Linked DNA regions of Xenopus tropicalis. The protein of the gene in region 6 interacts with the protein of the main gene of each other region in a pairwise test. Links are inferred from orthologs where the notes say so. Each region holds a gene or a part of one and is shown on either strand. Other genes may lie near its edges.

Evidence for each region.
Region 1: the proteins of arl6ip1 (region 6) and acsf2 interact in binary tests that used the Homo sapiens proteins (3 or more experiments, as listed by UniProt). The two-hybrid records come from large-scale screens. The link is inferred for Xenopus tropicalis from reciprocal best matches to the Homo sapiens genes ARL6IP1 and ACSF2.
Region 2: the proteins of arl6ip1 (region 6) and snx10 interact in binary tests that used the Homo sapiens proteins (3 or more experiments, as listed by UniProt). The two-hybrid records come from large-scale screens. The link is inferred for Xenopus tropicalis from reciprocal best matches to the Homo sapiens genes ARL6IP1 and SNX10.
Region 3: the proteins of arl6ip1 (region 6) and inpp5k interact in binary tests that used the Homo sapiens proteins (3 or more experiments, as listed by UniProt). The link is inferred for Xenopus tropicalis from reciprocal best matches to the Homo sapiens genes ARL6IP1 and INPP5K.
Region 4: the proteins of arl6ip1 (region 6) and gad2 interact in binary tests that used the Homo sapiens proteins (3 or more experiments, as listed by UniProt). The two-hybrid records come from large-scale screens. The link is inferred for Xenopus tropicalis from reciprocal best matches to the Homo sapiens genes ARL6IP1 and GAD2.
Region 5: the proteins of arl6ip1 (region 6) and shmt2 interact in binary tests that used the Homo sapiens proteins (3 or more experiments, as listed by UniProt). The two-hybrid records come from large-scale screens. The link is inferred for Xenopus tropicalis from reciprocal best matches to the Homo sapiens genes ARL6IP1 and SHMT2.
Region 7: the proteins of arl6ip1 (region 6) and ndrg4 interact in binary tests that used the Homo sapiens proteins (3 or more experiments, as listed by UniProt). The two-hybrid records come from large-scale screens. The link is inferred for Xenopus tropicalis from reciprocal best matches to the Homo sapiens genes ARL6IP1 and NDRG4.

The regions. Positions count from the first base shown.
Region 1 is NC_030686.2:43,860,993-43,864,956, forward strand, and holds part of acsf2 (medium-chain acyl-CoA ligase ACSF2, mitochondrial), read right to left. Parts: intron 2,572-3,964; coding exon 2,473-2,571; intron 2,375-2,472; coding exon 2,226-2,374; intron 1,259-2,225; coding exon 1,170-1,258; intron 1-1,169. UniProt on the Homo sapiens protein: Acyl-CoA synthases catalyze the initial reaction in fatty acid metabolism, by forming a thioester with CoA. Has some preference toward medium-chain substrates. Plays a role in adipocyte differentiation.
Region 2 is NC_030682.2:41,694,868-41,698,831, reverse strand, and holds part of snx10 (sorting nexin-10), read right to left. Parts: intron 3,835-3,964; 5' UTR 3,806-3,834; coding exon 3,782-3,805; intron 1,260-3,781; coding exon 1,176-1,259; intron 595-1,175; coding exon 494-594; intron 1-493. UniProt on the Homo sapiens protein: Probable phosphoinositide-binding protein involved in protein sorting and membrane trafficking in endosomes. Plays a role in cilium biogenesis through regulation of the transport and the localization of proteins to the cilium.
Region 3 is NC_030678.2:45,854,104-45,858,862, reverse strand, and holds the start of inpp5k (inositol polyphosphate 5-phosphatase K), read right to left. Parts: upstream 2,838-4,759; 5' UTR 2,814-2,837; intron 1-2,813. UniProt on the Homo sapiens protein: Inositol 5-phosphatase which acts on inositol 1,4,5-trisphosphate, inositol 1,3,4,5-tetrakisphosphate, phosphatidylinositol 4,5-bisphosphate and phosphatidylinositol 3,4,5-trisphosphate.
Region 4 is NC_030682.2:25,243,674-25,247,637, reverse strand, and holds part of gad2 (glutamate decarboxylase 2), read left to right. Parts: intron 1-2,069; coding exon 2,070-2,159; intron 2,160-2,282; coding exon 2,283-2,456; 3' UTR 2,457-3,964. UniProt on the Homo sapiens protein: Catalyzes the production of GABA.
Region 5 is NC_030678.2:139,768,504-139,773,095, forward strand, and holds the start of shmt2 (serine hydroxymethyltransferase, mitochondrial), read left to right. Parts: upstream 1-1,438; 5' UTR 1,439-1,494; coding exon of another isoform or gene 1,495-1,527; intron 1,528-4,592. UniProt on the Homo sapiens protein: Catalyzes the cleavage of serine to glycine accompanied with the production of 5,10-methylenetetrahydrofolate, an essential intermediate for purine biosynthesis.
Region 6 is NC_030685.2:32,818,493-32,823,046, forward strand, and holds the start of arl6ip1 (ADP-ribosylation factor-like protein 6-interacting protein 1), read left to right. Parts: upstream 1-1,675; 5' UTR 1,676-1,777; coding exon 1,778-1,813; intron 1,814-4,554. UniProt on the Homo sapiens protein: Positively regulates SLC1A1/EAAC1-mediated glutamate transport by increasing its affinity for glutamate in a PKC activity-dependent manner.
Region 7 is NC_030680.2:75,844,267-75,848,792, reverse strand, and holds the start of ndrg4 (protein NDRG4), read right to left. Parts: upstream 3,219-4,526; 5' UTR 2,999-3,218; coding exon 2,962-2,998; intron 646-2,961; exon of another isoform or gene 622-645; coding exon of another isoform or gene 579-621; intron 1-578. UniProt on the Homo sapiens protein: Contributes to the maintenance of intracerebral BDNF levels within the normal range, which is necessary for the preservation of spatial learning and the resistance to neuronal cell death caused by ischemic stress.

The DNA.
Region 1 (3,964 bases), on a different chromosome or scaffold from region 6:
TTATTTAATGGTTAAATGATTCCCTTTTCTCTGTAATAATAAAACAGTACCTGTACTTGATCCCAACTAAGATATAATTACCCCTTATTGGGGGCAGAACAGCCCTATTGGGTTTATTTAATGGTTAAATGATTCGCTTTTCTCTGTAATAATAAAACAGTACCTGTACTTGATCCCAACTAAGATATAAATAATCCTTATTGGGGCAGAACAGCCCTATTGGGTTTATTTTATGGTTAAATTATTCCCTTTTCTCTGTAATAATAAAACAGTACCTGTACTTGATCCCAACTAAGATATAATTACCCCTTATTGGGGCAGAACAGCCCTATTGGGTTTATTTAATGGTTAAATGATTCCCTTTTCTCTGTAATAATAAAACAGTACCTGTACTTGATCCCAACTAAGATATAATTACCCCTTATTGGGGGCAGAACAGCCCTATTGGGTTTATTTCATGGTTAAATGATTCCCTTTTCTCTGTAATAATAAAACAGTACCTGTACTTGATCCCAACTAAGATATAATTACCCCTTATTGGGGCAGAACAGCCCTATTGGGTTTATTTAATGGTTAAATGATTCCCTTTTCTCTGTAATAATAAAACAGTACCTGTACTTGATCCCAACTAAGATATAATTACCCCTTATTGGGGGCAGAACAGCCCTATTGGGTTTATTTAATGGTTAAATGATTCCCTTTTCTCTGTAATAATAAAACAGCACCTGTACTTGATCCCAACTAAGATATAATTACCCCTTATTGGGGGCAGAACAGCCCTATTGGGTTTATTTAATGGTTAAATGATTCCCTTTTCTCTGTAATAATAAAACAGTACCTGTACTTGATCCCAACTAAGATATAATTACCCCTTATTGGGGCAGAACAGCCCTATTGGGTTTATTTCATGGTTAAATGATTCCCTTTTCTCTGTAATAATAAAACAGTACCTGTACTTGATCCCAACTAAGATATAATTACCCCTTATTGGGGCAGAACAGCCCTATTGGGTTTATTTAATGGTTAAATGATTCCCTTTTCTCTGTAATAATAAAACAGCCTTACGACAATGAAGCTGCCCATAACAGTGCCAGTATATTGCCCCCACTGCAGATATATTGGGCCTGCCGAGCTCAGGTACCCTAACAAGCTACAGATGGATCACATACCAGTAGTGAGTGTGGAGATGTGAGCCGCAAAGTTAGGTTGAGACAAAAGATCTATGTACATGGTGGGGGTTCCATACATGCAAGTGCACCTAGAAAATACACAGAATAAAAGCAACTCAGTAACCACCTTAGAAGAAAGTAACATAATGTGCAGTTAACTCATTAAAAAGGTACATCTATCAGAGAGTCGGAACACTCCCACAGCAGACACAGAGCAGCATAAAACAAAAGTGCAGTGCACAGGGGGGACCAATAGAGGGCAGCATATACTGCATAAAGCAATATTGCAAAAGACGTACCATGAAACGACATTTGCCCAATAAAATATACTTCTAAAGGCTCCCATACACGGGCCGATAGTAGCTGCTGATATGGGTCCCTTGGACCGATTCGGCAGCTAATCGGCCAGTGTATGGGCACTTCTGACGGGCCTGCCCGACCGATATCTGTCCTGAAATCGGGCAGATCTCTATCGGCCAGGTTAGAAAATCTAGTTGGATCGGGGACTGCACCGGCTCATTGATGCGATACCCAGACAGACTTTACCTATACCCGTCGTTATAATTTGATCGTTTGTCCCCAGGGCCAAATGATCAAATTACCCTGGATTCTCCCGATATCGCCCACCCGTAGGTGGGGGATATCGGGAGAAGATTCGCTCACTTGGCGACATCGCCAAACGAGCGGATCTGCCAGTGTATGGGGACCTTAACAGATATAGGACTATTAGCGCAGTGCTCTACTACCAAACAACCAGAAGGTGGCAGAATCCTCAAACAACACAATGATTTGCTGGCAGACAGAGCACTGGACTAATGATACGATATATGCCGGGACCTGTGCAGTGTGACCTAGTGGCACAACCAGGTTTAATAGCAAATGCTTGTGGTTTCTGAATCCAGGAAGACATGGGGTTCGTAACCTGCATCCCCTACTTGTGCCTGTGCCCCAGGCTCTTTAATATAGATTGTAAGCTCTTTGTGCCAGCGGAACATGGAATGATGAGGCAGAGGGGAACCTGAGGGCACTGGGGGGGAGGGGATCTAGGGTTCTTACTTCTCATTGGAAATAGCCTCAAGGAGAGCCCGAGGATCATAACCTGGAGACGGGAAGACCAGGGTGGTACCATAAACTGCCATAACCATTCCCCCAATCACAGAGCCCAGGCAGTGATACAGCGGCACCGGGATGGCTGTTCTAACGCCCTGGAAGAAATATGGGTCCCTGGGTCATTTAAAAAGCAGATGGCGACTCCATCCATTACAGGTTGGGAATGCCAGGAATCAGTCCAATATTGCCTCACCTTCCTCCAGTTGAAGCCCATCCGCCTTCCCCCAAGGCTTGAATTGTTAACAATGTTGTGGTGACTAAGAGTTGCCCCTTTGGGACTTCCAGTTGTTCCCTAGAAACAGACACACACGGAGTAAGATAAGGAAGGAGGTTACACAATGAAGGTACAGGAGGCATGGATACAGATAGCATGGAGAGGGGAGGATAAGAATACATATATTGTTTTCCATAGACAGTACAGTATGGGGGTACAGCTTATTGTGTGCCCAGAACATTCCTTCTCTGTATATTTGTATTTATACATATGGGTAGGAGGTGCCATAGTGTTTCCCTTAGACAGTACAGTATGGGGGTACAGCTTATTGTGTGCCCAGAACATTCCTTCTCTGTATATTTGTATTTATACATATGGGTAGGGGGTGCCATAGTGTTTCCCTTAGACAGTACAGTATGGGGGTACAGCTTATTGTGTGCCCAGAACATTCCTTCTCTGTATATTTGTATTTATACATATGGGTAGGAGGTGCCATAGTGTTTCCCTTAGACAGTACAGTATGGGGGTACAGCTTATTGTGTGCCCAGAACATTCCTTCTCTGTATATTTGTATTTATACATATGGGTAGGGGGTGCCATAGTGTTTCCCTTAGACAGTACAGTATGGGGGTACAGCTTATTGTGTGCCCAGAACATTCCTTCTCTGTATATTTGTATTTATACATATGGGTAGGGGGTGCCATAGTGTTTCCCTTAGACAGTACAGTATGGGGGTACAGCTTTTTGTGTGCCCAGAACATTCCTTCTCTGTATATTTGTTTTTTTACATATGGGTAGGAGATGCCATAGTGTTTCCCTTAGACAGTACAGTATGGGGGTACAGCTTATTGTGTGCCCAGAACATTCCCTCTCTGTATATTTGTATTTATACATATGGGTAGGGGGTGCCATAGTGTTTCCCTTAGACAGTACAGTATGGGGGTACAGCTTATTGTGTGCCCAGAACATTCCTTCTCTGTATATTTGTATTTATACATATGGGTAGGAGGTGCCATAGTGTTTCCCTTAGACAGTACAGTATGGGGGTACAGCTTATTGTGTGCCCAGAACATTCCTTCTCTGTATATTTGTATTTATACATATGGGTAGGGGGTGCCATAGTGTTTCCCTTAGACAGTACAGTATGGGGGTACAGCTTATTGTGTGCCCAGAACATTCCTTCTCTGTATATTTGTATTTATACATATGGGTAGGGGGTGCCATAGTGTTTCCCTTAGACAGTACAGTATGGGGGTACAGCTTATTGTGTGCCCAGAACATTCCTTCTCTGTATATTTGTATTTATACATATGGGTAGGAGGTGCCATAGTGTTTCCCTTAGACAGTACAGTATGGGGGTACAGCTTATTGTGCCCAGAACATTCCTTCTCTGTATATTTGTATTTATACATATGGGTAGGAGGTGCCATAGTGTTTCCCTTAGACAGTACAGTATGGGGGTACAGCTTAT
Region 2 (3,964 bases), on a different chromosome or scaffold from region 6:
AAGTCTGCTTAAAGACAGACCTTTTCCCTCCACGGTGCAAGACCACCCAGAAAGAAGCAGAAAGAAGATCGCTCAGTGGTTCTCGCTGAGAAACACCCCGGGCCCGGTGCAGTTTTCTGCCAACAGAACCACCAGCCCAGAGGTGGTTTAACCTTTCCATCTTCTGTAAGACACCATAAAAACAACCATATTAACCACAGCATTAAGTACCTGGTGACATTTAGTAGTGAACACCCTTCCGATTTTACTTTCATACAAAAATTCAACACAGGACAACCTACATAGTTAGTAAAATTAGCATTTAGCCTCAGCTCATGCCGGGGCAGGGGGAGTTTGTTTTTGTCAGTCTGTGTATAGGCTGCATAGAGAGAAGGTGTCTCTTTGAAGATCTGCTGCACAGCAAAATTAATCAGGGGCTTTATCGATGCCATAGTGTATTATACAAACTTAGCTGTACCTCTGTATAACAATGTATAAAATAACATAGCCTTACGTTAATACAGCATTGCTCTGGAGCTTTTGTCGGAGCCATACAAATTCCCGAAACCTTCTTCTTACACATGAAGTTTTCAGAGTGAAACACATACTGTTTGTCTGGGGGAAAAAAAAAACAAACAAACAATCAAACGCCAAATTAATCCAATAGGATTGTTTTTCAATTATTTGATTAAAATAAAGTCTATGGGAGATGGCCTTCCCTTAATTTGGAGCTTTCTGGATAACGGGTTTCCAGATAAAGGGATTGCATACATATACAAATAAATAAAGATATACATATACACACACATTAAAAAATAACTGATTTGGTGCTAATGCCAAATGGACTAGAAACAGTACAAGTGACAGCATTCACAGGGTTTTAAAAAAATTGAGAAACACATTTCATATTCTGAAATATACATCAATTATATATTTATACACACACACACAACTGACAATTGTTGTTGCACAGACTTGGGCTGGTCTGTTTCACTGCCACAAAATAAACACCTTACATGAGGTGAGTTTAGAGGAAGGTGGTGCCAGACCCAACTTTTAATACAAACAGCATGTTAGTTGTGGCAGCCAACCTTAAACCGCTCCTACCCAGCATGCTATAAGGATTATATTTTCAAGCTGTAACAGGACAGTCCTGTTTAGTCATTAGTATGAAAAGAGTGCACCCTGATACTTACATGAACACAGATTTCATAATCCACATAAGAATGCCAATCTTCTTTCTGTACTTTAGGGTCTCGCACCCACACAGAGATGGTTTCCTGTAAGATCATGATTTAGAAATTAGTCCAGCACCCACTGTGCCCTGCAATCTGCACTTGCTGATCAGCCTCACTCAGCTCCACTGTGAATGCAAACTTTGCCTTATATAATGTCAGAAACGGGAAGGGAAAACAAAAAGGCACCAGACTAAACATGCCCTGGAATTTTTGTCTTCACAGAGCTATAGAGGAAGAAAGATAAGGATTTCTAAGATTGCAAAACAATGAAAAAACTATTAAGCCATTTTACCAAAATGGTTAAAAACTAGAATGCTTAGAAATTTAAAAAAAAATACTCCCAGCTATAATTGCACTGTTTCAAGTTTACATAAAATAAATAACAAGTTGAGTGAGTTATGTGTTTACCTGAACACTAGACTCAGTGTTTTCTGACCACAAATTACACAGCACAATTGATAAATTAGTAATAGGCTTCCAACTATTTACCGCACTTTGGTTCGTAAGAAGGCAACTGATCTATAAACAATGAAACGCTAGTTTAAGCCGTAAGTGTATTGCAATAGCACATTTTAGTACACTTGTTAAGCTGATAATCATTTCTGCATGTCTATAGGTCACAAATATTTCTTTACTTAAAAGGTGTGCTCAACTGTCTGCATTTTTAATGGATCAGAACAGTACCTCCTCAGCCACAATATTTGCTTATTGTTCAAAAGGTAGGCATACCTCTGTGTATTTATGGGCACTTCATGTGCTGCCACTGCTGGAATCTCTCTAACTCTCTCTGATACACCAAACCTCTTTCCTGAGCATTTGTGAGGCCAAGTATCTTTTATCTTTAAAGTAATAGGAGGTTGTCTCACTATTTGGAGATCTCAGGATCCCATATGATGACCAAAACATAGATTTATAGATTATAGTACTGAGGAAAAGAAAAAGACTTATTATTCACCCCTTACCCACCCATTTATTTCTTTAAATGCACTTGTAATTAGTACTTCTTCTGTCACTATAAACGTACCCAATTTCTATAGAGTTGCATGCTTTAAAACTACCATAGAATAGTTATTCTAAAAATGTAAGGAAATTATTTACCAAAACTTGGATTAAACAGGGTTTAATAACAACTGTGCCAGGCCATACTTCCAGTCAGTTTGACGAAAATATTTTCTGTGCCCTACATTAATATTAGATATATATATATATATATATATATTATATACATAGAAATATATTATAGAATTCAGCCCATGGACCAAATGAATGGCCAGGACACCAGGTCTGACTGCTTTGTGGTTCTTACCTAACCTGATCTGCCCAAATACTCAATCCCTAGCTGCTTCCTGACTGCTGCCATTAACATGAAGCTGTGATTTAAAAAAAAAAAAAAAAAAAAAAAACTTTCTAGCCTTTTTCTGTTGCCTAATTTAAAAACGAGCCAATTAAGTTGAATATAGTAAAAGCATTTTTGCCCTAAATGTCAACCGCTTACCTTCACTTGTTTTTTAATAGTACACAAAAATAAATACTTTTTAGTTTCATAGTTTTTCTATGATGCAGTTTAAGTCGGTTTGCTTTGTTTTTTCACCTTTCTAGTAGCAACCAACTCTCTAAACTGTTAATTATTTGACATATAAGTTACTCCTGTTTCTCTTAAAGAGCACCTATCACCCTAAAATTGCTTGTGGGCTAATAAAGAAAACTATTGATTCCCCAAACCAGAGTTTGCCCCACTTAACATAGCTGCTCACACCACAAGCTGCCTGGAAGCCCGCACCTCTGGTAGGGAAACAATTTTAGGGCCAGGTGCCCTTTAAGTTTTATAAAAAGGTATAGAGATCAGCTGTCACAACTCGATACATTAGTTGTAGTCATTCTTGCAAGTGTGGGATAAATATTAATACAGGTATGGAACCGGTTATCCAGAATGCTCGGGACCTGGGGTTTTCCGGATAAGGGGTCTATCCGTGATTTGGATCTCCAACAAAAAAAACAAATTCTACTAAAAAAATTATTTCAACAGTAATTAAACCCAATAGGATTGCTTTGCCTCCAATAAGGATTAATTTTATCTTAGTTGGGATCAAGTACAAGGTACAGTTTTATTATTACAGAGAAAAAGGAAATCATTTTTATAAATGTGAATTATTTGATTACAATGGAGTCTATGGGAGATGGCCTTTCCGCAATTCAGAACTTTCTGGATAATTGGGTTTCCGGATAAGGGGTTCAATACCTGTAGTGGCTAAATATGCTGATTGGAAATGCCAACAACTAATGTATCATACTGGAACAGTTCAGAGAGAAGATATCCATGTTGCTTGTTTAAACGCATTTAACCATATAGACATAACATAAATAATGGATTTTAGAAAACCCATTATTCGAGGCATAAAATAGGGCACTGCGTCTTGAAACTAATGTATTTAGTACATGAAGGCACATGGAATATATTGACCACCACTGCCATCAGGCGGAGAAGAACTGGGGGGTCTATATGCTCACCATTTTTGACAGCTATGGGTAAGCGTTAGTTAAAATAGACATAGAGGATCACTTACACCTTCTTGGTCCCTTGGCAACATACTTCTATAACAGCCGAAATACAGAATATCTGCAATAGAAAAAGAATACTGTTAATACTCAACAAATATTTTTGTAATAAATGCAACAAGGTCATACTGAGCCAGCGTGCAGTTTTATTTTATTTTTGTTATTAATTTTATTTGAAGGATTTTTCAAGT
Region 3 (4,759 bases), on a different chromosome or scaffold from region 6:
GCATACGGAGCAGTGGGGAGAAGTCCCCATTGCTCCGTATGGGGACAAAACTTTTACAATTTTGGTGCGGCGGGGCGGCATGCCGCCCCCAGGTTTCTGGCGCCCTAGGCCCGGGCCTTTGTGGCCTCTCCACAAACCCAGCCTGTTAACGTGTCCAGCCACAGCCTAGGGTTTTTTTTTTTTTTTTTTAAAGCATTTTCTCCCCCTATACAGGCACAAGATGCAACAGGAACCCTGTGCTAAATGCCTGCTCAAGGTAGGTACAGTGCTCCCACAAGAAAAAAGTTTTATTGAATAAAATCCAGTGTTTCCGGCACCAACATTGCTCTTCCTCAGGTACAAACGCTTCTGCTGAAATGGCTGACTACTTTAACAGTAGTTGACTGCCTTCAGCCTGCATCCTCCAAATCCCTTCACAGGTGATGTCAATAAGGAAAGTAACATCACTGAGCAATGCATTGTGGGTTATGTAGTTCCTGCATGCTGTTACAATTTGTTACATCAGATGTTAGCAGCTCACCACTGCTTCCTGCTCCCCTATGGCTTCCCCCTTGCGTCAGATCATAGCGGAGGGTAAATTACCTTGGGGGGCTGTATCCAGCCCACGGGCCGTAGGTTGAGGATGCCTGCTTTAGTCCCTGTTTCCCTGCCAGGATTTCAAATGATGCAGAAAAACAACTGTTTTGCAGCTGTATTTCAACATACAAAAAGTGGTATTTATTCATACTTTTTGAAGGAACATATTTCAGTGATGGTATATTAGGGGTTTCTGTGTTGTGCAGGGCTCTTTAATAAATGTTGGATTAGAACTAAAGTTCCCCTTTTAATTCATAAACAAAATGGGTACCATTGTACACAAACCGATACCCTTGTATATATATTATCAGGCACATTGTGCAATCAAGTATACTGGTATCCCTGGATTATATCACAATCCTTCCATTACAGGTTGTTCAAACTGCATTGGTACATTGTATTTAAAAGAGAAGGAAAGTCAAAGTCAAATGTTAGGCACCCCAAAGTGACTTCAATAGCCTACCTTTTACCCCGGGCTGGTGCCCCTGTTCAGAGAGAACAGCACCAGCCCGGGGTAGCTGCGAGCACTTGCTCCTTCCTGCTTCACTGCGCGCGCATGCGCAGTAGAGTGAAAAGAGAAACTTTAAGAGAGAAGTCGGCTTTTCACTCTACTGCGCATGCACCTGTCCCGGACAATAAGCAGCAGCGTGAATAGGAAGGAGGAAGCGCATCGCTACAGGTACCCCGGGCTGGTGCTGTTTTCTCCGAACAGGGGCACCAGCCCGGGGTACAAGGCAAGCGATTAAAGTCACTTGGGGGTGCCTAACATTTTGGCACTCCCAAGTGACTTTGCCTTTCCTTCTCCTTTAAGCTGCGATGCCATTTTCTGGCTTCAATGTGTGTATGAATATTATTGCTGTGGAAGTCAGTTGTATGTGTAGGATCAAACACAGGAAGAAACAGCTCCTTCAGGCAGGTGTTAATTCCAGTGCTACCCTGTGTGTGCCCTGTACTTTGCCCGCTGTACTGCAGTAATAAAAGCACAATAAACCAACATTTTGTTATATATACAATATATATATAGAATATAGATGAGTGTATATTAAAGGAAGCACCTCTGTAGATAGCAATAAAGCATTTCTTACTTGTTCATAAATGAGACCTTATTTACGTTTACATTTTGTGTTCAACTTCAGTCAGATTTACCCAGACTTAACCCAGGAGACCCCCCACCTAAAAATCTGGACCAATAAAACTGAACATCACCAGCAGCAAAAAAAGCAGTACAGCTTGTCAGCTCTGCAAATGTCACAGCCACTGTAGCCCTGCCATCACATCCTCTGTCAGCAAGTATAGGTGCTTTATACATGTTCATCTCCAACATTTTATTACATGTGCCCCACATATGAAACACACACACTAACCCACAACATTCCAGTGCTAACATGAATAGGGAAGCATATGCTGGAAGTACAGTCCCACAACAGAACAGCTATAGGTACAGCCTCACTGGAAGACTGATGGACCAATTATAGGAAAGGGAAGAAAACCCCTTACATAGTTACATAGGGTTGAAAAAAGACCAGAGTCCATCAAGTTCAACCCATCCAAGTAAACCCAGCACACAACCCACATCTACCAATCTATACACTCACATACATAAACTATATATACAACCACTAATACTAACTGTAGATATTAGTATCACAATAGCCTTGGATATTCTGATTGTTCAAGAACTCATCCAGGCCCCTCTTAAAGGCATTAACAGAATCTGCCATTACCCCATCTCAATGTGAACTCAAATAGGAGCTCTGCATTAAGGGCTGGACACGTATAACATATAAATGGGACAAAGCTGAGAAGCATGTATGTGTATGTTATTGGTGTGCAGCAGCTTCAGCATGATTTGAAACCCCGTCTCCCAGCAGCTCAGAAAAAGCTGTTCTTAACAACGAAAGCAAGACTCAGCCACGTCCAGACATGAAACAGAGCAAAATAAGAAGAATACAGGTTGTGACATTACCTCTCAGGCCGAACAAGCTTCTCACACACACAACTTTTCCCTGTTCTGTTTTGGTTGTATGCGACCTCCCTTCCGGGGGCGGGGCTTGGGTGTTACCCTGCCGTCATAAGGCCATGCCCAGTGAGTTGCTAGGGGATGCGTGTGGGATGGTGCGAAAGACTAATACCAAGGATGTAGTCATCTGATGTGGTGGCTCTATTTGAGTGTATCTTGTGGGGCCCAATGCTTGGCATTGGTAGGGGTGCGTTTCCTCAGCGAGTAATAAAAGTACCTTATCAGCTCTCCTGGTGCGGCTGTCTATGCTGAGGAAATCAGTTCTCTCCCGTTCTGTCTTCACTGTTGCTTCCTGTTTGTCTGCCAGTGTGTGAGGAGTGGTGGGCGGGGCTATCTCGGAAGCAGTGCCAGTAGTGTGCCAGAGAGAAGCTGCGGGGAGAGTTGGGATTTGCTTTAGTACTCCCTGTAGTAACTGTAAAGCCGCTGTACATCTGCCCCTCCATCTTACTTACCCAGCTTACCAATTTGCTTCATCTGATATCTTTATAAAGCCCTTTGCTCTGTTCCCTTACATCTTATTATTAACTTTACTATAATTCATCAGTCACCTAATTCCTATTATTTGTGACTTTGTTTTATCTCCCCCCCCACTTCCCCCAGTAAAATAACACACACACATATATAGTGGGGGGGGGGGAGACTGAAGTTGAACACAAAATGTAAACGTAAATAAGGCCCAAAACCACAAAGGTCTCATTTATGAACAAGTAAGAAATGCTTGAAAAATTGTTTACATTCTATTGCTATCTACAGAGGTGCTTCCTTTAATATACACTCATAATATATATATATATACCAATTTGCTTCATCTGATATCCTTATAAAGCCCTTTGCTCTGTTCCCTTACATCTTATTATTAACTTTACTATAATTCATCAGTCACCTAATTCCTATTATTTGTGACTTTGTTTTATCTCCCCCCCCCACTATATATGTGTGTGTGTTATTTTACTGGGGGAAGTGGGGGGGGAGATAAAACAAAGTCACAAATAATAGGAATTAGGTGACTGATGAATTATAGTAAAGTTAATAATAAGATGTAAGGGAACAGAGCAAAGGGCTTTATAAGGATATCAGATGAAGCAAATTGGTATATATATATATATTATGAGTGTATATTAAAGGAAGCACCTCTGTAGATAGCAATAGAATGTAAACAATTTTTCAAGCATTTCTTACTTGTTCATAAATGAGACCTTTGTGGTTTTGGGCCTTATTTACGTTTACATTTTGTGTTCAACTTCAGTCAGATTTACCCAGACTTAACCCAGGAGACCCTCCCAAAAAATCTGGACCAATAAAACTGAACATCACCAGCAGCAAAAATGTCTCTGCAAATGTCAAAGCCACTGTAGCCCTGCCATCACATCCTCTGTCAGCAAGTATAGGTGCTTTATACATGTTCATCTCCAACATTTTATTACATGTGCCCCACATATGAAACATACACACTAACCCACAACATTCCAGTGCTAACATGAATAGGGAAGCAAATGCTGGAAGTACAGTCCCACAACAGAACAGCTATAGGTACAGCATCCCTGGAAGACTGATGGACCCAGGGCCGGGCCAAGGTATTTTGGCACCCTAGGCAAAGGCTTCAATCAGTGCACCCCCGCCCCCCGCATTACCATTTCCCACCTCACTATTATACAGTTTAATTTTTTTTTTTGCATTTTAAATAAAATTGTTAGTGGCACAACAGACAGTTTCATTCATCTTACAACACATTTATAAGGAAACTTAATTTATATAAATTAAATACAACCAAATAATCACAGCACACAAGAAAGAGCAGTCCCCAGTCATAGCAGTCACACATCGCAACCCTGAGGCCCAGATAGTCAGAATCTGCCATCATCCAACCCTTCCCCCTTCTGACTGTCCATGTAGCCATGCCAGCAGCCTTCATATTGTCCCCATGTACCTGGGCCATTACCCATCATATTGCCCCCAATCTGTACCTGTGCCAGCAGCAGCCAATCCCTCCAATTGCCCCCAAATAATCTGTACCTGTGCCAGCAACAGCCATCATATTGCCCCCAATCTGTACCTGTGCCAGCAGCAGCCATCATATTGCCCCCGAATAATCTGTACCTGTGCCAGCAGCAGCCATCATATAGCCCCCGAATAATCTGTACCTGTGCCAGCAGCAGCCATCAT
Region 4 (3,964 bases), on a different chromosome or scaffold from region 6:
AAGGAGGTCACCTTCCCATAGTTCTTACGGTCTAAGTGGGTTAATAAGGTACAGGGGTACTATTTTGAGGGCAAAGTGCACAAAGGTTTGGGCATTGGCCCTTAAGTAGAGATGTAGCGAACTGTTTGCCGGCGAACTAATTTGCACGAACATCGGGTGTTCGCGAACGCGCAAGTTCGCGAACTTTCCGTGTATGTTCGCAATTTGGGTTCGCCGCGTTTTTTCTCTGCATTTTTTCTCAGCCTAAAAAAACGCCGCACAATCATACATGGCGTTTTTCAGCCTAGTACTGGTGTAAGCAAATCCCGTTTCCATGGTGCCAATAGCGCGAAATAGCAAACAACGCCGCGTATTTCCGCTAGGTCTGCCCGTTTTTACGCAACGCTTTTTCAACAAAGTACTTTTTAGAGAAATTTTTGCCCTTGATCCCTCTCCTGCATGCCCCTGTCCAGGTCGTGGCACCCTTTAAACAAATTTAAAATCAGTTTTCTGGCCAGAAATGGCTTTTCTAGGTTTTAAAGTTCGCCTTCCCATTTAAGTCTATGGGGTTCGCAAAGTTCGCGAATATTCGCGCTTTTTGGCGTAAGTTCGCGAACGCGTTCACGAACTTTTTTTTTTAGGTTCGCTACATCCCTACCCTTAAGTGCCAAGACTGTGCCATAATGTTCAAGTGCTCCAAAAGGTAGGATCTGTGTGTCTTTTTGAAGAGATTGAGGCAGTGTTCCTATAGAGGAATTCATGGATGGATTTCCAGGTGTAAAGAGCAGAAAGGTTTAAGAGATGGCATATTATAAACTGTCCAAAATTGGGTCTGCTGTTTTTGTGCCATCATTTGTTGAACAACTTCTGCCCCTTCAAGGTCCCTAATGTGAGTTGTGATTTACTAAAATATGAAGCAGGTGGGGCCATTATGGGAACTGCTATGGGACATAGAAGGGCACCACAAAATGAGAATCTATTTATTGGGTTACTCCAGCTTGTGAAATCCAAATAGGGTCTGATTCAGTTATAGTGATGCCCTGCTGATTCTTTGGGCAGCTTTGAACATGATGACTACAAAAGGTCAGACTTACATTGATTCTCAAGCCCAAAGTCCTGCAATACATAAAGATAGCTGGAACACATTAGGTACCTGTTGTCATAAACCCTTGCTAAAAGTAAAAGAGTTATGGACCTATAACCTATACTCCCTAAAGACAGGTGTTTAAAAGAGAACTGACTTTGCAGGGCCACTTTTTCACAGAAAGCAGGAAACAAAGTTTCAGCTTTTGCTGACGTCAAGTTCCCATCACCCGGTGGGTACAATGAAACCTCTTACATTATACAGGTATGGGATCCGTTATCCGGAAACACGTTATCCAAATTAAGGGAAGGCCATCTCCCATAGACTCCATTATAAGCAAATGCTTCTAATTTTTCCCTGTAATAATAAAACTGTTACTTGTACTTGATCCCAACTGAGATAAAATTAATCCTTATTGGAAGCAAAACAAGCCTATTGGGTTTATTTAATATTTAAATAATATTACTTCATTAATTGTTTATTTAATGTTTAAATAATATTTTAGTAGACTTAAGGTATGGAGATCCAAATTACAGAAAGATCCCTTATCCGGAAAACTCCAGGTCAGGGGCATTCTGGATAATGGGTCCCATACCTGTACATAAAAGTCCCAATATACTGCCTGTAATAAAATGACTTTTTTCGTTCATCCCGGCATAGTATCAATGTAAACCTATTACTAAAATATTTACTTACATTTGTTGCATTATAGAACGTATTCCCCTTTTTGTCCCTGCTCTGTGGCATTTGCTTTCTGTCTGCTTCAGAAGATTTTTTTTAAAAAAGGGGGAACGCACCTCACTTTAGTTTCCCTTTGGTCTAACAACCAAGAAAAATGGAAATCTATGACAACCACAACTACTGTGAAAACATTCAAGAATATGTGTTTTCAGAAATAACCTTTTATTATAGCCACATGACTGTTTTAGTCTAATTATTATGTTCCAGACTGAACTATATTCACAAGGGTATTCAGGTCTAATTTATGATATTCCTGTATTTATAGCCCCAGCACACAAATGTATGTTTCTGGTATGTACCACCAAGTTTGCGTAACATGGAAGACAATGAAGAAAGAATGAATCGGCTTAGCAAGGTAACTTGTTTGGATTTTTTTTAAACGATTGCCGTAGCAATGAAATATATAATGGCAAGCACATTATCCAGTGGAAGTAATGCTACATTGCAGTGATCTTATATTAAATGTGTCTGCTCATAGGTTGCCCCTATCATCAAAGCCAGGATGATGGAGTACGGAACCACAATGGTCAGTTATCAGCCACATGGAGACAAAGGAAATTTTTTCCGCATGGTTATCTCTAACCCAGCAGCAGCGCATCAAGACATTGATTTCCTGATTGAAGAAATCGAGCGCCTTGGGCAAGATTTATAAAATTTCCCGTAGGCCATTTCCAAGTCTATAGGTACACAATGGAGTTCTCTCAACTGTGTGAATGTATTTGTAGTGTGTTCCAACAAGTAATTCGATATTGTGTCGTAGAAACCTGAATATAGTTTTATTGGAGAAACATTGCTCCTGTAATGGTCTTGCATTTTAGGTTTTCACTTTATTGGCCGTAGGTTTGAATCATTGAAGCATCTAGATAATCTACAACTTGTATGTAACACAAAATAACTGCTGAAGTACCTTATATGATTGTGCCAAATGTATCAAAACAGTAGACTTTAAAGAATACTTCATGGGGGCAATACAATTTTAGGATCCAAAATGCCATATTTGCTGCCTGGAAAATTGCATTGCCTTTCTTAGTATTTAGATGGGATTTCTAATTTACATTTGATATATTTAAGACATATAATTTTACTAAAGAGAATATATATATATATATCGATATATTGACTGAAGATATTTTGTAAAGTATAGATTTTATTTTGTATCAGTTCTGTACCTGTTCTACAAAGAGATAACAAAAAGGCATATGAATAAGAAAGAACATTAGGGGTTATTAAATCCTATCCTGAAACCCTGAGAAGGCGAAATGAGTTTAGGCTGCAACTTTATTTTAAACTTAGATGCACGTTCGGGAATCATCAACAGCAGTACCTGAAATTAGGCTTATGTTATTGTGATTAGAAAAGTTCCAACAAGAATATATTGATTGGGCTAATCTATTACCACCGGGAAAATTTGGACCTGGGCAGTTTCCCAAGGAAACCAATCAGATATTTGTTTTCATGCATTACCTGCAACTGGCTGCAAAAAGTTACTCACTTATTGGTTGCTGTTACTCTCCAGGTGCAAATGTGCCCAATGTTGATTGGGCCCCATGACAATACCACCTTCTGAATATCTCTATCATTGACATGATTTCCGTAGATTACAAACCCTGCGTGCCCTAAGCCTGCAGTATTGTGAACATGCTAACATATTGCAGCTCTGTTATTTTAGCTGTCATTGTTGGCTCTAAACTTCTCATGCAAAATAGATGGGATCATCATATGCTTCTTTAGGTGTTATTTTAAAACTTCAAATATAGTATAGCATTGGCACCAGAAGATTTCTCATAGGAGGATGAAAATCTTTTCTCAAACACTGGCACAATGGGACTTATATATTAGTTATATATATATATAGTTATTTTACATATATATAACAAAGTTCAAAAACCTATGGCCTTTCTCAAAGGAACAAACCAAAACCAAGCCATTGAGAAACAACCCCTTGGGAAAAGGTCACAGTTGGCGACCAAATATATAGGTATGAGTGTCTGCACTCTATCATAGGTTTTAACTAAAGGTGCACAGTCAAAAACATGCAATATATTTACAAAACGTTATATTTATATATATATATAGAGATAGATATACATAGATCCATATATATATATATATATATGTAAAGTAACTATATAATTCTTGCAAGAAACCAAGGATGCTCTA
Region 5 (4,592 bases), on a different chromosome or scaffold from region 6:
CATAAACTACGGCAGATGGACAATTGTGGACACAATCTTGTGCATGTCCATCTGCCACAGTTTATGCTGTTCAGTGTGCAAGTGACTTATGTGCCATATTTTTTAGGCACAAGTGTGATGCGCCTATTGACTCTGAGCACAACCAAAATCGTTGGGCTACCACCTGGTCTGGAAGTTGTGGTAGTGTCACGGTTCCTGTGTCAATAGGCAATAGTCATACACAATTGCATCATAGCATATTGACCCCTTGAATACAATGATGCTGGAATTCTGGGAAAATACATTGTTGAATAAAAAACATGGCGACTGCGCTCAAAATTGCCTATTGCTCACTGTGCTTGTGAATGAGTCTTTTTGTATGTCAGGGAAAAGTGACAGCTCTGGCCAGCCTTCTCCACCTGTGCACTTTAGCACACTCTATATTTGTGCAATTTTATTTCACACAAGTAAAAATGATCTTTAGTGCTTTTTTTTAAAAAGTTGTGTGCACAGAGATGAGTGTGTCTGCATCAGTAAAATTCACTGCATTTTCTACAAATTGTTGGATATGGCAGCCTGTCATGCTGGGTGGGTAAATGGCTTAGCGGGAAGCAGTGGCATAACTAAATGTAATTTGCTCCACAACAACCCAATTATTGGGCCCCCAAATACTTTAGTAATGCATATTTCACTCCCCGACACTGCTGTATTATAATAACTCTGTGCAATGGATCCCCAACCTGTTTTACTTGTGAACCACACTCAGATGTTAGAAGTGTAGGGGAGCCACACAAGCATGAAAAAAGTTCTTTGGGTGATGCCAAGTAAGGGCTGTGATTGGCTACTTGGTAGCCCCATGTGGGTTGCTGGCCTGCAGGAGGTTCTGCTTGGGAGTAAAATGTAGTCTCTGTGCTTTCAAAACTTGCAGCCAAGCCACAAATGTAAATATGGGCACCCTCTGAGGCCAGTGGGAGCAACATCAACAGGGGTGATGAGCAACATGTTGCCCCTGAGCTAGTGGTTGGGGATCCTGCTCTACCCCACTGAAAAAGTACTGCTAGAACATTCTTTAAACATGAAGGCTGTAAAGTGTGGTGAACACTAGGCAAGGTATATACACAGCACGAAACCATCACCTCTTCTGCTAATACAGGATAACAGATTTTACACAGGGTCATATTTAAACGCATTTAAAATATAAGCTGCACGTCCACTCAAAAGATGCTCAGAATGTGACGCCGATGAAAACCGACGCTTGCCAAATTATTGGTGAAATATAAGCCGCCCAGAAAAATCGGGAGTTGTAGTTTCAATAAACGTGAGACACAGAGGATATCGTCTCATAAAAACTACAATTCCCAGCATGCCATCGTGATGCCATACATGCGCGTTTTTTGTGCTGCCCCCATGCGGCAGCGTGGCAGGTGTAAGTGCGCATGATCACACGTGTTCAGTGATCCATAAGGGGCAAGAGGCCGGAGTGGGGCTGCAGTGCTAGCCCGGGGACTAGTAGACATGCTTACGTTTTCTTTACGGCGCTTGGCACAGGTACGTGGCATAGAACTCAGGCACCGGCTGCTAGAACAGTGCTGTCCTGGTGACTGTCATGTACTGAGCTGCACAGGTTAGGGTAAGCCTGAACTGTCATGTGGGTGATGTAATATAACTCATATGGGATGCGCTATCCTGGCATGGGCTAGGGGACCTCAGGCATACATTGTAAGTACAACACTTAACCCTTGCTTAGTCAGTAGCTTACCTAGAAATTCAGCTTTTTTTCCCTATGTTCCTACAGCTTCCAACATGTGTTCTTGAGTTGCTGAGAGTTTTAACTGAGGAGCAACAAGTGAGGGATCCCTAGCATAGCATAGTATAGCATAGCAGGGGTTGCTAGGCTACGTTTTGAACCCAGATGAAGCTAAAGCTTAACTGTACCAAGGGCAGCTTGCATCACCTCATTTGGCAGGGTTGATTGGTCCATCCTGAATCAATATCTTGCCAAGCTGCCTTGTGTAATCAATAGTATATGTCATTTACCCCCAAGTCATTGCTCAGGTACCAAAAAAGAGTTGCTTCTGATTGGTGCAGGGTATAACACCTAGATATCTAGGTTTTGTCTAGTCATTAACCTTCCAGCAGTTGCTAAAGCAGCAGTTCTATTCAAAGATAAAGGCTCCCAGGGCATAACTACAGGGAATGTGACTACTGGGGAGCCTATGGGCACAAAAATTGCTTTTCCTCTTTAGAAGTTTAACAAACATGCAGTATTATGAGGATAATCCACAATTTAAAGCACATGGTAAGGGATATGAATGGATAGAGTGCCAATGATGTGAGGGGTGAAGGCTGGGAATTAAGTGGCATAACTGCTGTGGTCTTAATTACACCACTAAAAGGCTTTTGGCAAAGATGAAAGTTAAATAGTTGTTTTTGTACTCTGTATCTAGTTTTAGCACGTCTGTGTGCAGCTTAACAGTAAAGGATAAGTACTGACGTGGCATTTACTTTGAAATGGCATTCAATTGCTGCTATCCCCTAACAGGAGCTTACTTAGATTTCTATGTAGATTGATGCTTGCCAGTAGTGGCTATGCCAGTCCTTTACATTGGCTTATTTTCCTGGCATTACCTTTTATTAAGCCATATAGCATTCTCATTTACTGCTGTGCTGTTAATAATAAGTTGTGACTGTTTGTGCCATATGGAACATTCCAGCTTGTTTACTGCTCTTTTATTGCTCTGTTAATTTTTGCATAGAACTTGCTTGTGCAGTTCATTCTCCAGTATGATGAAAAATACATCCTCACAGGACATAGCCTTTGTGGTTTGGTGCAACTTGTTGCATGTCAGCAGTTGCTGCAAGTACAGTCATGCAATCATTTTACTAACAAAGTCGATTTAGTGCCAGGTCAGGCGGCAGGCAGGGGTACCGTTCCAAACCACAGGGAAGCATGATCATGCAGCTGGTAAACTTCCCTTTGTCAGGAGATGTTATTTAACTTTTGAAGGGAGAAAGATTCAATAGATAATGTTCCTTATACAGTAATATTGCAGGGATATATATATTGAAATAGTCCTGTAACTAACTGCGTATGATAAAGCTTTTTGTTTCTCAGCACTATGGTAGTGGCTGTACTGCGTGGGGAAAGTAATAGAGCTGATAGTTCACTTGTGATTGGTTTCTTTTATCATTCAGTTGCTAATGGTTCAGAAAAAATGGGATCATTATTCCCCCTGGGTATATGCACATGTAAATGCATGTTCTTCCAGTTATGTAAAACACTTTGGGTTTATATTGTAGACGAATAACTAGTCAAACTGTAGGTGCAGCTTAGTAATAAAATCTTTGGTTCTTCAACTGTTCAGCCTGTTCCCAGAATTCCTTCTGAATGCTCATTACTCTTTGAATGTAACTACAGATCCTGACATGTATGTTAAAATCCTACTGTGTATCTTCTGCTGTATAACTATGCATGGCCAGTTTTCTATAACCCCTAAGTAAAGAACCCACGGCACAGTAAAAAGCTCTCTTGTCCACCACCGACTGGACTCCACTGGGAGACTATAAAGGTCATTTACAGATTCAGGTGCAGTTGCACTTCTCCACTTTTCTCTGCAGTGAGTTGTGCGTTAAACCTAATTCATGAAGGGCAGTGGTACACGGGGAGATTAGTCGCCTCACGACAATGCCATCCCACTGGCTAGAATGTAAATCACCGGTGGGATGGCATATGTGTCACTGTGATGTCCCACAGTCGCCTGAAGTTGTCTTTGGAGGAAACTTTGGGCGACTGTGGGACATCGCTGCGACGCGTATGCCATCCTACCAGCAATTTACATTCTAGCTGGTGGGATGGCATTGCGGGGAGATTAGTCGCAACAACGAAGTTTTGTCACGGGGCAACCAATCTCCCCGTGGACCACTGCCGTAAAGGTACTTGCATCAAAATGTGCTCTCTTGCATTTAAGTATGGTTGCACTCTGCCACTCAGTCCTTCCTGCCTTCCGAGACAAGCGTTTCTGTGCCTATTTATGGGGCTCAGTAAACACTGAAAATGACACCAGATGGACTTCTGCACAATTGTGTCTAATTTGCAACATAACTCCTGAACTGTTGCCTTAATTTTGGAGAATCAGATGCAGATGTGACAGACTCAATGCATTTACATCTGGCGCAATGCCCCTTTGTGACTGCCATGATGGTGGAGAAAAAATACTGCATAGTGGGGACACACATGCTGGCTGTTCTCAAAGTTGCACCTTCACCGTTGCATTTGTGGTTGTAAATGTAATATTCATTTAAAAAATACAGGTGCATAGATAGTTGTATCAAGTGGTTACAGATAAATAATTAAAACTTTCTGAATATGCACCCAAACTCTTTTCTAACTGGGGTGCACATGGAGACACACTCACTGTAGGGCTGATCAGACTGTAGCTGTGTAGAACAACTCTGCAACACTGATTGGTGTGCATGGACCCTGAGTGATCCCCAAAGAACAGATTGGATTTTAGGGAGGCTATAGATTAACTGCAATGTGATTGGTCAGGCCAGCATAATACTGGAAAAGCCAGTGTTTTTGAGGGCATGGCTTCCATATGTTGCTAGATGTC
Region 6 (4,554 bases):
AGATGCCCTCGCAATCTAACAGATTTGGAGTGTTTCTGCAAAGAAGAGTGGGCAAATCTTGCAAAGTCAAAATGTGCCATGCTGATAGACTCATACCCAAAAAGAGTGCTGTAATAAAATCAAAAGGTGCTTCAACAAAGTATTAGTTTAAGGGTGTGCACACTTATGCACCCACATTATTTTAGTTTTTTTGTTTTCTTCCCTCTGCCTAAAAGATTTCGTTTTGTTTGTTTTTCAATTGAGTGGTACAGTTTATAGGTCACATTAAGGTGGAAAAAGTTCTGAAATGATTTATCTTTGTCTCATTTTTGTACAGCACAGGAACCTGACATTTTATCAGGGGTGTGTAGACTTTTTATATCCACTGTAGATAAGTACAATTCATTGGCACAATATTGTTTTTCACACACTATGTCCCCTTTAGGGCCATGGCAGACAGGGAGATTAGTTGCCCGCGACAAATCTCCCTTTTCGTGTGCGACTAATCTCTCTGAAATGCCATCCCATGGGATGGCATACGCGGCACCACGATTTCCTGAAATTGCAGAAGTTTCCTCTCAAGACAAATTCCGCGGTGTCGGGAAATTGCGGCGCCGCGAATGCCATCCCACCGGCGATTTATATTCTAGCCGATGGGATGGCATTTCGGAGAGATTAGTCGCCCACGACAAGGGAGATTTGTCGTTAGCAACTAATATCCCCGTTTGTCACGGCCCTTAACTGTACCTCCTTCGGATTTGCAAATGTCGGGTTTTGCATCATGAGTCTCTGGATGAGTGAAATAAAGCAACAGGTATAGGCTGCACTGCGTTTGGCTACCAGTCACACACCTGTATAGCCCTTAGTCCATCGGCTGCTCCCACTGTGCCTGAGGCCTGTTCAGAGAATTAGGGCCACATTAGCAACAGTAGGAGGGGTCTGCCTGCAGAGCAAGGCACCTATAATAGCCCAGAACAAGAGAGCTACTGCAATGGATGCTTGTTACAGGAAATGGATCAGGCCCTCAGCACTCCAACCAGTCACAGTAGCCGAGCTGGAATCCTGTTTGGGGTTCTGCTAATTGGGGGCTCTGTGCTGGGCTTAGGGGTGATGACACCTCAATTAAACTGATTGGGTACTCTGTAGGGGGATATAACTATGGTTATAGCAGACTCTGCGACTTGAGGGGGCCTAGAAGTTATACGGGGCGCATGGGGCACTAACTTGCTCCATGTTTACTTGTTTTAATACAAATGTCAAAAGGCAGCCACATTCCACCTCAAAAACTCATGCAGTTTTGCCCATGATCTGTGGAGGGCGCTGTGAGTTTCACAGTTGTGTAGCTGTTCAAGTCCTAGGTATGTTCTTTCACCCGCATCAGAATTTTCCCCACAAGAGGTATGCCAATATGGGCATGCAGTGCCGCCGCCTCACCGAGTAACGCAGTGTGTAGCTGCGCCTCTCCTTATTGTCACTCTGCCGAATGGATAGCACATGGATTTGCAATGCCCTACACGAAACCTTTCCTTTTGTTTATCACACCCCTCAAGCGTCAAAACGGCTATTCAAAAAATTTCAAACATTTGTAATGTAATTTGGCAGATTTATCATACAACATCGCGATTGGCCGACTGGTCTGTGTTTTTGCTTAATCCCACCAATCCTAAATCTATTGCTTGTGCTGTTGCTAGGCAGCCTAGTTCTCGTGAAGGATGCCGGGAGCCGCCTTATATGTAACAGTGCGTTAGCTGCTCGCTGCCAGTGTGAGAGTGCGCTCTAGCAGGGACTGTGACAGACAATGGCGGAAGGGGACAACAGGAGTGCCAATCAGCTGGTAGGTGCCGTAGCGGTGATTAAACAGTGCGGGCTTTCTTGGTAAGAGGTTATACGCAGTACCATTAATATAATATGCTGACAGTCTTCCAAATGCTATGCTAGTTACTGCAGGCCTGACTCGGCAAATCAATAGGAACCTCCCGTGTGAATGACAGGCTGTGCGGGCTGGTTAGTGCAATGTGTGTGTCGATTTAATCGCTTGCAAAACCTCATGTTATTCTGACAGAACAAATACTGATAATCAGTGGAACCGCAGTAAGGACGTATTGTGCCAAGGGCTGGAAAGGGAGGTTCTTTGCTAGAAGAACGTACGATTTGATTCCAGGATGTCTGCCCTGTGGCCCTCCAGCTGTTGGACTAGTGCTAGTTACAAGTCTGTGGCCCTTCTGCTATTGGGCTAGGGCTTGTTACAAATCTGTGGCCCTCCAGCTGTTGGACTAGGGCTTGTTACAAATATGTGGCCCTCCAGCTGTTGGACTAGGGCTTGTTACAAATATGTGGCCCTCCAGCTGTTGGACTAGGGCTTGTTACGAGTCTGTGGCCCTCCAACTATTGTACTAGGGCCTGTTACAAATCTGTGGACCTCCAGCTGTTGGGCTAGGGCTTGTTATGAGTCTGTGGCCCTCCAGCTATAGGACTAGGGCTTGTTACGAGTTTGTGGCCCTCCAGCTATTGGACTAGGGCTTGTTACGAGTCTGTGGCCCTCCAGCTGTTGGGCTAGGGCTTGTTACAAGTCTGTGGCCCTCCAGCTATTGGGCTAGGGCTTGTTACGAGTCTGTGGACCTCCAGCTGTTGGGCTAGGGCTTGTTATGAGTCTGTGGCCCTCCAGCTATAGGACTAGGGCTTGTTACGAGTTTGTGGCCCTCCAGCTATTGGACTAGGGCTTGTTACGAGTCTGTGGCCCTCCAGCTGTTGGGCTAGGGCTTGTTACAAGTCTGTGGCCCTCCAGCTATTGGACTAGGGCTTGTTACGAGTCTGTGGCCCTCCAGCTGTTGGGCTAGGGCTTGTTACGAGTCTGTGGCCCTCCAGCTGTTGGGCTAGGGCTTGTTACGAGTCTGTGGCCCTCCAGCTGTTGGGCTAGGGCTTGTTATGTGTCTGTGGCCCTCCAGCTGTTGGACTAGGGCTTGTTACGAGTCTGTGGCTCCAGGTGTCGGACTAGGGCTTGTTACGAGTCTGTGGCCCTCCAGCTGTTGGGCTAGGGCTTGTTATGTGTCTGTGGCCCTCCAGCTGTTGGACTAGGGCTTGTTACGAGTCTGTGGCTCCAGGTGTCGGACTAGGGCTTGTTACGAGTCTGTGGCTCCAGGTGTTGGACTACGTCGCTAGGACTGTGTAGCCGTAGTTGTTGGATTAGGGCAGTGGTTTCTGTACTTTTTTGGGTCAAGCACATATTTGACACCCAGTATTTGGCTGCCGCCCCATCAGCTCATAACAAGGTTATTGCCATATGTAATCTTTACTATTAGCTATTCTGCCATAGTTCCAAGAATATCTAGGGCAGCAAATAGTGTTCTCCAAAAACACTTACACTAATTGACTTGTAAGTTTGGCTTCCAAGGTTGAAAAATATGCATTCTACCCAAATCTCTACTAACTGGCATATTCTGGGCCCCTGTAGCCGAGGCTTTGTGTACAAAATCAAGCTGGGCAAAAGGCCATCCACTTCTATCTGCACACTGACAGGTACACTATGGGCCTGAGCGGATTTTGGCACAGAAATGCGAAAGTATGACACCCGCTTTGTGTGTGCATGTGTAGGCCAACAACATGCCTGTCGGTGCACTTACAGCAAGAAGTAGATCAGCATACATTGGCTTTTTCTACAGCATGGGGTGCCACTAGTCTAACGGCTGGAGGGCTGCTGGATGGACACTTTACAATTAGCATTGGCTAAATGACCATTGTCTTAGTCTTCTAGTTGACATTATTGCAGGACAGCAGCTGTTGGGCCCCCGGTTGGACATTTATTTAAAGTATTTTTCAAAATTACATTTCTGTACTGAGTTCACTGTGGCTCCAGTATTTGGGAACTTGCCAAAAGGCTGATCTATTGCACTTCCACCTCCCGTTGCCAAGCTGTCGGCTAACTGGCCTGAAATTTTTATGAGGCAGTAGGAAAAAATGCAAGATCTTATGACCATGATAATGCAAAATGCATCAAACTCTTCTTCTTCTTGACGCTAACCCTTTTCTAAGTTAAAACGAAAACTGGACCAGGTTGTGTTTCCTTAACTTGAGGTCCTACCACAAACCCTTTTTTAATATTTTGAGATATTTTGGTGTTTTTTAGTCATATTCTAGTAAAAGGTGTTGGGTGGGGGTATTTTATTGCAGCATTGACTCATGGCAGGCTGATTGGACTGGCCTTTGAAGCCTCTAGGAAGGGTGTTGCCTGTTATCAGCTGATTAGTGGCATTGGATGCAGAGAATCGGGAAGCAAAAGAAATTCCAAATGATTTATAGTTAACACTGTTAACCCAGAAACCCCTGCATAATAAATGGTAACAATCAGACACAGGAGTAAATGTTAGTACTGCTATAACTAATACATAATATTATACATTTTACAGTACTGAATTTCAGTTTGAGGCTTTATTAATGCATATCAAGGTCATATGTTTGTAGTCATGTTAGAGAGATGTGAGGAGAAAGGAAAGATAAAGCTTCCTGTAATCCATTTATTGAGCAATTATGTCTGCTTGCCCAAACAGACATTGATTTCTTTATACTTCCTGCACAAGA
Region 7 (4,526 bases), on a different chromosome or scaffold from region 6:
AATAGATATCAAAAGAGTAATGTAGAGAAATATTTAGGTAAAAAAGCATCCCATTTTTGAAAAGTCATACTGAATATTTTAACTGCCTTAAACAGAACGCTAGAGAAGGCATGAACTGAACATACAGGCAGAGAGAAATCAATAAGTTGCTTGGTAGACAGACAGACAGAAAGATGGCTGGTCCCATCTGCTGACTCATTCTCTAAGTCACATTGAGAGGTGCGAGCTACGCAGAACACTGTCAGGAAGCTGTGAACTTCCAGCCCGCTGTTTTTTATCCTAATTTAAGACAAATTCTATCACCTTCTCGCTCTGCCACCCTGTTTCTCCCACCCTGTCTTTGCTTTTCAATTCCTGTTGAATAAAGGAAAATGAATAGATATTGCATTACTTACTTTCTGTTGAGATCTCATACTATCATACAGTTTAAGCAAAAAGATACAACAATCAAATGACAATATGGCTTGCACACAGATGGTGGTTTAGCGACAAATTTTTCTGGAAAAAACCACAAACAATAGGCATACTGTATAAGGTTTCTTTTCCTACAAACCAACAGTCTCAGCCTGAACACATACCTCTCTCTTCCCCATGCCACAGAGATATCAGGGTTGAAAACATCTTCCGCCCAGAGCATGCAGAGACATCAAGAGCTCCACCTTCCAAATCGAAATAATGGGCATACACATTCCTAGCCTCCTCCCACAGATATGTACATTCCTCACACCCATCCTCCAGTAGGCATCATCACTTTCCCAACCCACATTTTCTTTGTTATGTCAATGCTGTTTGTTAAACTTCCCAATGAAATATCAAACACATGCCAAAAAAAAATTAGATTTGCCACTTAAAATTCAATAACTTAGTAGATCCCAGTGACAGAAGATTTTTACATTCTGATAAACACCAAAGACTTTAACCTGCTACAGGGCACTTAATAGGATTATTGTGCAAATTCCACCGCAGTTAGATGCTGCTTTAATTCACTATAGTTAAGATGAGACATTCTCAATTCTGGACTTCTAAGTCAACAACTGCACAACTCAACAGCATCTTAGGACAAATGTTGTTATGTATTTTAAAAACAATTTCAGTATATAATATCAGTGGTATTTTTAATGATACCTCTTAATGTGGAATTCTAATCACCAGTTTATTAACCTTGCGTCTTCAAATATTGTTGTATTACATAGCCAGCAGGCTTTCAGTCTTGATTATATTTTAAAGAATGATGGGAGTTTTAGTCCAGAAACCTCTGAAGGCCTAAGATTAAGGAACGGGGCTCTAGTACATGGACTTCAGAAAAACTGTAATTATATCTGTACTGTCTTCTGGTACAATAGCTTTTGTTAAGTATTTTGTGAAACTGACAAGTAAAATCATCTTCCTGACTAACTAAGTTATGACTAAACTTATTCTTACTGTGCACCCGTAAAATCCTAGGCTTAAATATTGCTAACAAAATTATATTTGTTACATAACAATTCTCATCAATATGTCTCTTACCAAAAGAGGACAGGTGCCTTTCGAAATTGCCAGCAGATATCTGCACTACTAGAATCTCATTTCCTATGCCCCTTACGACATTCTTGGCACATTACTCACCCATTTCTCAGCACAGATCTTATAACTACATTCTTGGCATGTAATGTTTTAGTTTCTCAGCACATCTTATTACCACATTCTTGGGATATCAGTTATCCAGAAACCCATTATCCAGAATTACAGAAAGGCCATCTCCCAGATACTCCGTTTTAATCAAATAATTCACATTTTTAAAATGATTTATTTTTTCTCTGTAATTATAACAGTACCTTGTACTTGACCCTAAGCAAGATATAACTGATTCTTTTTGAGGCAAAACAATCCTTCTGGGGTTAAATAATATTTAAATAATTTTTCAGTAGACTTAAGGTATGAAGAGGAAAGACCTCTTATCCGGAAAACCCCAGGTTCCAAGAATTCTGGATAGCATGTCCCCTACCTATACCAGATTCTCATCACACATGTCCCTCGCCACATTCTAGCTGAATCCCCTAATTTTCAGTCAAATATTACTTAGCAATTTCTCAGTACTTTCATCATACAGCAAATTCTAAAGACAGATTTCTGTTACCAAATTATTATAATTCTAAGGAAGTACATCCTTTACCAAATTTTAAGCACTTGTGTAATGTAAAGTGTTCATTATAAAATTCTCAGAGCATATCCTTCCCAAAAAATTGTTCATATGCCCCTTTCTAAATCCACATCATCTTGCTTAAATCTGAGTTCAGGCATGGCATCTTTGTAAAGTCCAATGCATGTTATTAAAATCTCAGGAATCCATGTTATGGCGAACTGTAATCGTAAATCAATAAGAACAGCACATATTTCATTGAGGATCCTTTAAATACATAGGGAACGATAAACCAGCAGGGGAACAGTACCAGCCTTTGAAAGAAATGAATGCTCTATAACTCTTACAGACATTTAACTGGAAATGTACAGGACAAAGTATATTACTTGTACATTGCATTTTTTTAGAAATTTCTCAGGGGCCATGGACTTAAAAACTCTTTTGCAAATCAGAGTCTATATATAGGTTCAGAAAGCACATACAGCTCCTTCAAAACCCCATTTAAGCTTATTCAACTATATATTTTTTTTTTTTTAAAAGGCATTTTACAGGAGTAGAAAATAAATCTCCTTACTGAAATAACGTGAAAGAAAATGTCCACATCATTCTAAGTTTCATTTTCCACAAAACACCACATGTTCTTTTTTAGACTGCTATGAGGTTTGGAAGACAGTCCCTCAAGAGATTTTCATTACTGCAAAAGAACACACCCAGCCGTACAAAGCTCACAACCAACTCCAACACAATTACTGCACCAGCACAATTCTCAGGGACATGCATGCAAGGTGACTCGTAGACAGTTAAATATGCAGCAAGTCAGTTACAAACCCATAGACTATTACCTGCCCAGAGCTCTATCTTATGCCCCAGCAGCTTCATTATCTCTGCAGACAACGCAGCAAATAACTGCTTCAGGCAGAGTGAGAGACCTCCTGATGTAGCTGTCTGAGAGGGAGAAGCAGGAAGGGGGAATGAAGAAGGCAGGGAGCTGTCCAGCAAAGCAAAGCTTTATACAGTCTTATATGGCTAGTAAATTAAATGAGCAATAGGTAGAACAATACAAAATAAGAGGAGTGTGTGCAGGAATGACCGAAAGGAACAAAGAGTGGCCTATTCAGTAAAGCTTTGAGAGAGAATGCGAGAGATAGGGGAGTGACTGAGCAAATGGAGAGTGGAGGAGGGAGGCTGGAGAGAGGGGAATAGTGCCAGGGACAATCTGCCAGCCAGCACAATCTGTGTGACAGCTCAATGCAGATATGTTAGACAGTATAAGGGGCTTGCCCCTGACAATGAATTGAATGCATGTGCTGCATAGGTGGCACACAGAAAAAACATCTGGCTATATGTTGTTTAACTACAGCTCCCATTAGCCCCAGCAGATACTGGGAGCATTAGCTGTTCTGTCATCCCTGCTATATAGTGAATGCATTCTCTTAAAGCATTTATCTAAATCATCTCATATGATTACATCTAAGCAAAAACAAAAGATATATAGAAGGAAAGTGACTCTATGGATTTCTCTCCAGATGACACAATTTAGAACAATAACTGTAAGGATATAAAGATAATCTAGGACTATGAAATTAAACTAACTGTTTGGGTTATACCCTGACGCTGTGCCTATACACCAACCAGGAAATGCTAGAGTGTCAAGAAACAGTCATCAGAGTAACCCTTTCATTTCTATCTGGAAACAGAATTCAACAGTACCATATTAGTCAATAGTTGGCAATAACCTTTTGGTATATTAACAATCAAGGCCAACAAGTGACTAGCAATTTAGGGTTGTCAGCAGTCTTTAAACCCTATAAAGCTATGTAATCTAGCAAAAACAGTAAGCTGCCATTTTTTATGCTTCTTCCCCGTCTCAATGTGAAAACAAAAAAAAACCTATGCTTAAGAAGAACATAGGAATGGCAGACAGTTTTCTATATGCCATCTCATGGTTGTCAGACAGGCACCATTTTAAATGTCTCTCTGTCTGCCTACTCCTCTTTAGTGTCTAATAAACCCCCCTCCTTGCCACCAAAGACATTTGTAGCCCCTCTGGCAGGCATTTACAATTACCTCTCCCCTCAGATCCTCCTCTTCCTTCCCAGATGAAGCCTGGCTGTTTTTCCACGTGTTGAGCTGTCTCTATTCTGCTCAGTGGCACGGGTGGCAAAAAGAGGGAGGGGCAAACTCTATAGGGTAAGTGAGCGAGTGTGCCCACACCAGGTTTTGGATCCCCAGGTTGTGCCTTTTGTTAGCACCTGCTTATAGCATATAACAGGTTATGCGTCCCTGCGGGGGGAAATAGTAATATATACAGGGATGTGGGTTTGTGGAATAGGAGGAGGGCAGGTGGATAAAGTGAGAGAAATACACTGGGTGAAGCTGTGCTGCGTCAGTGGGGAGGGGGTAGAGG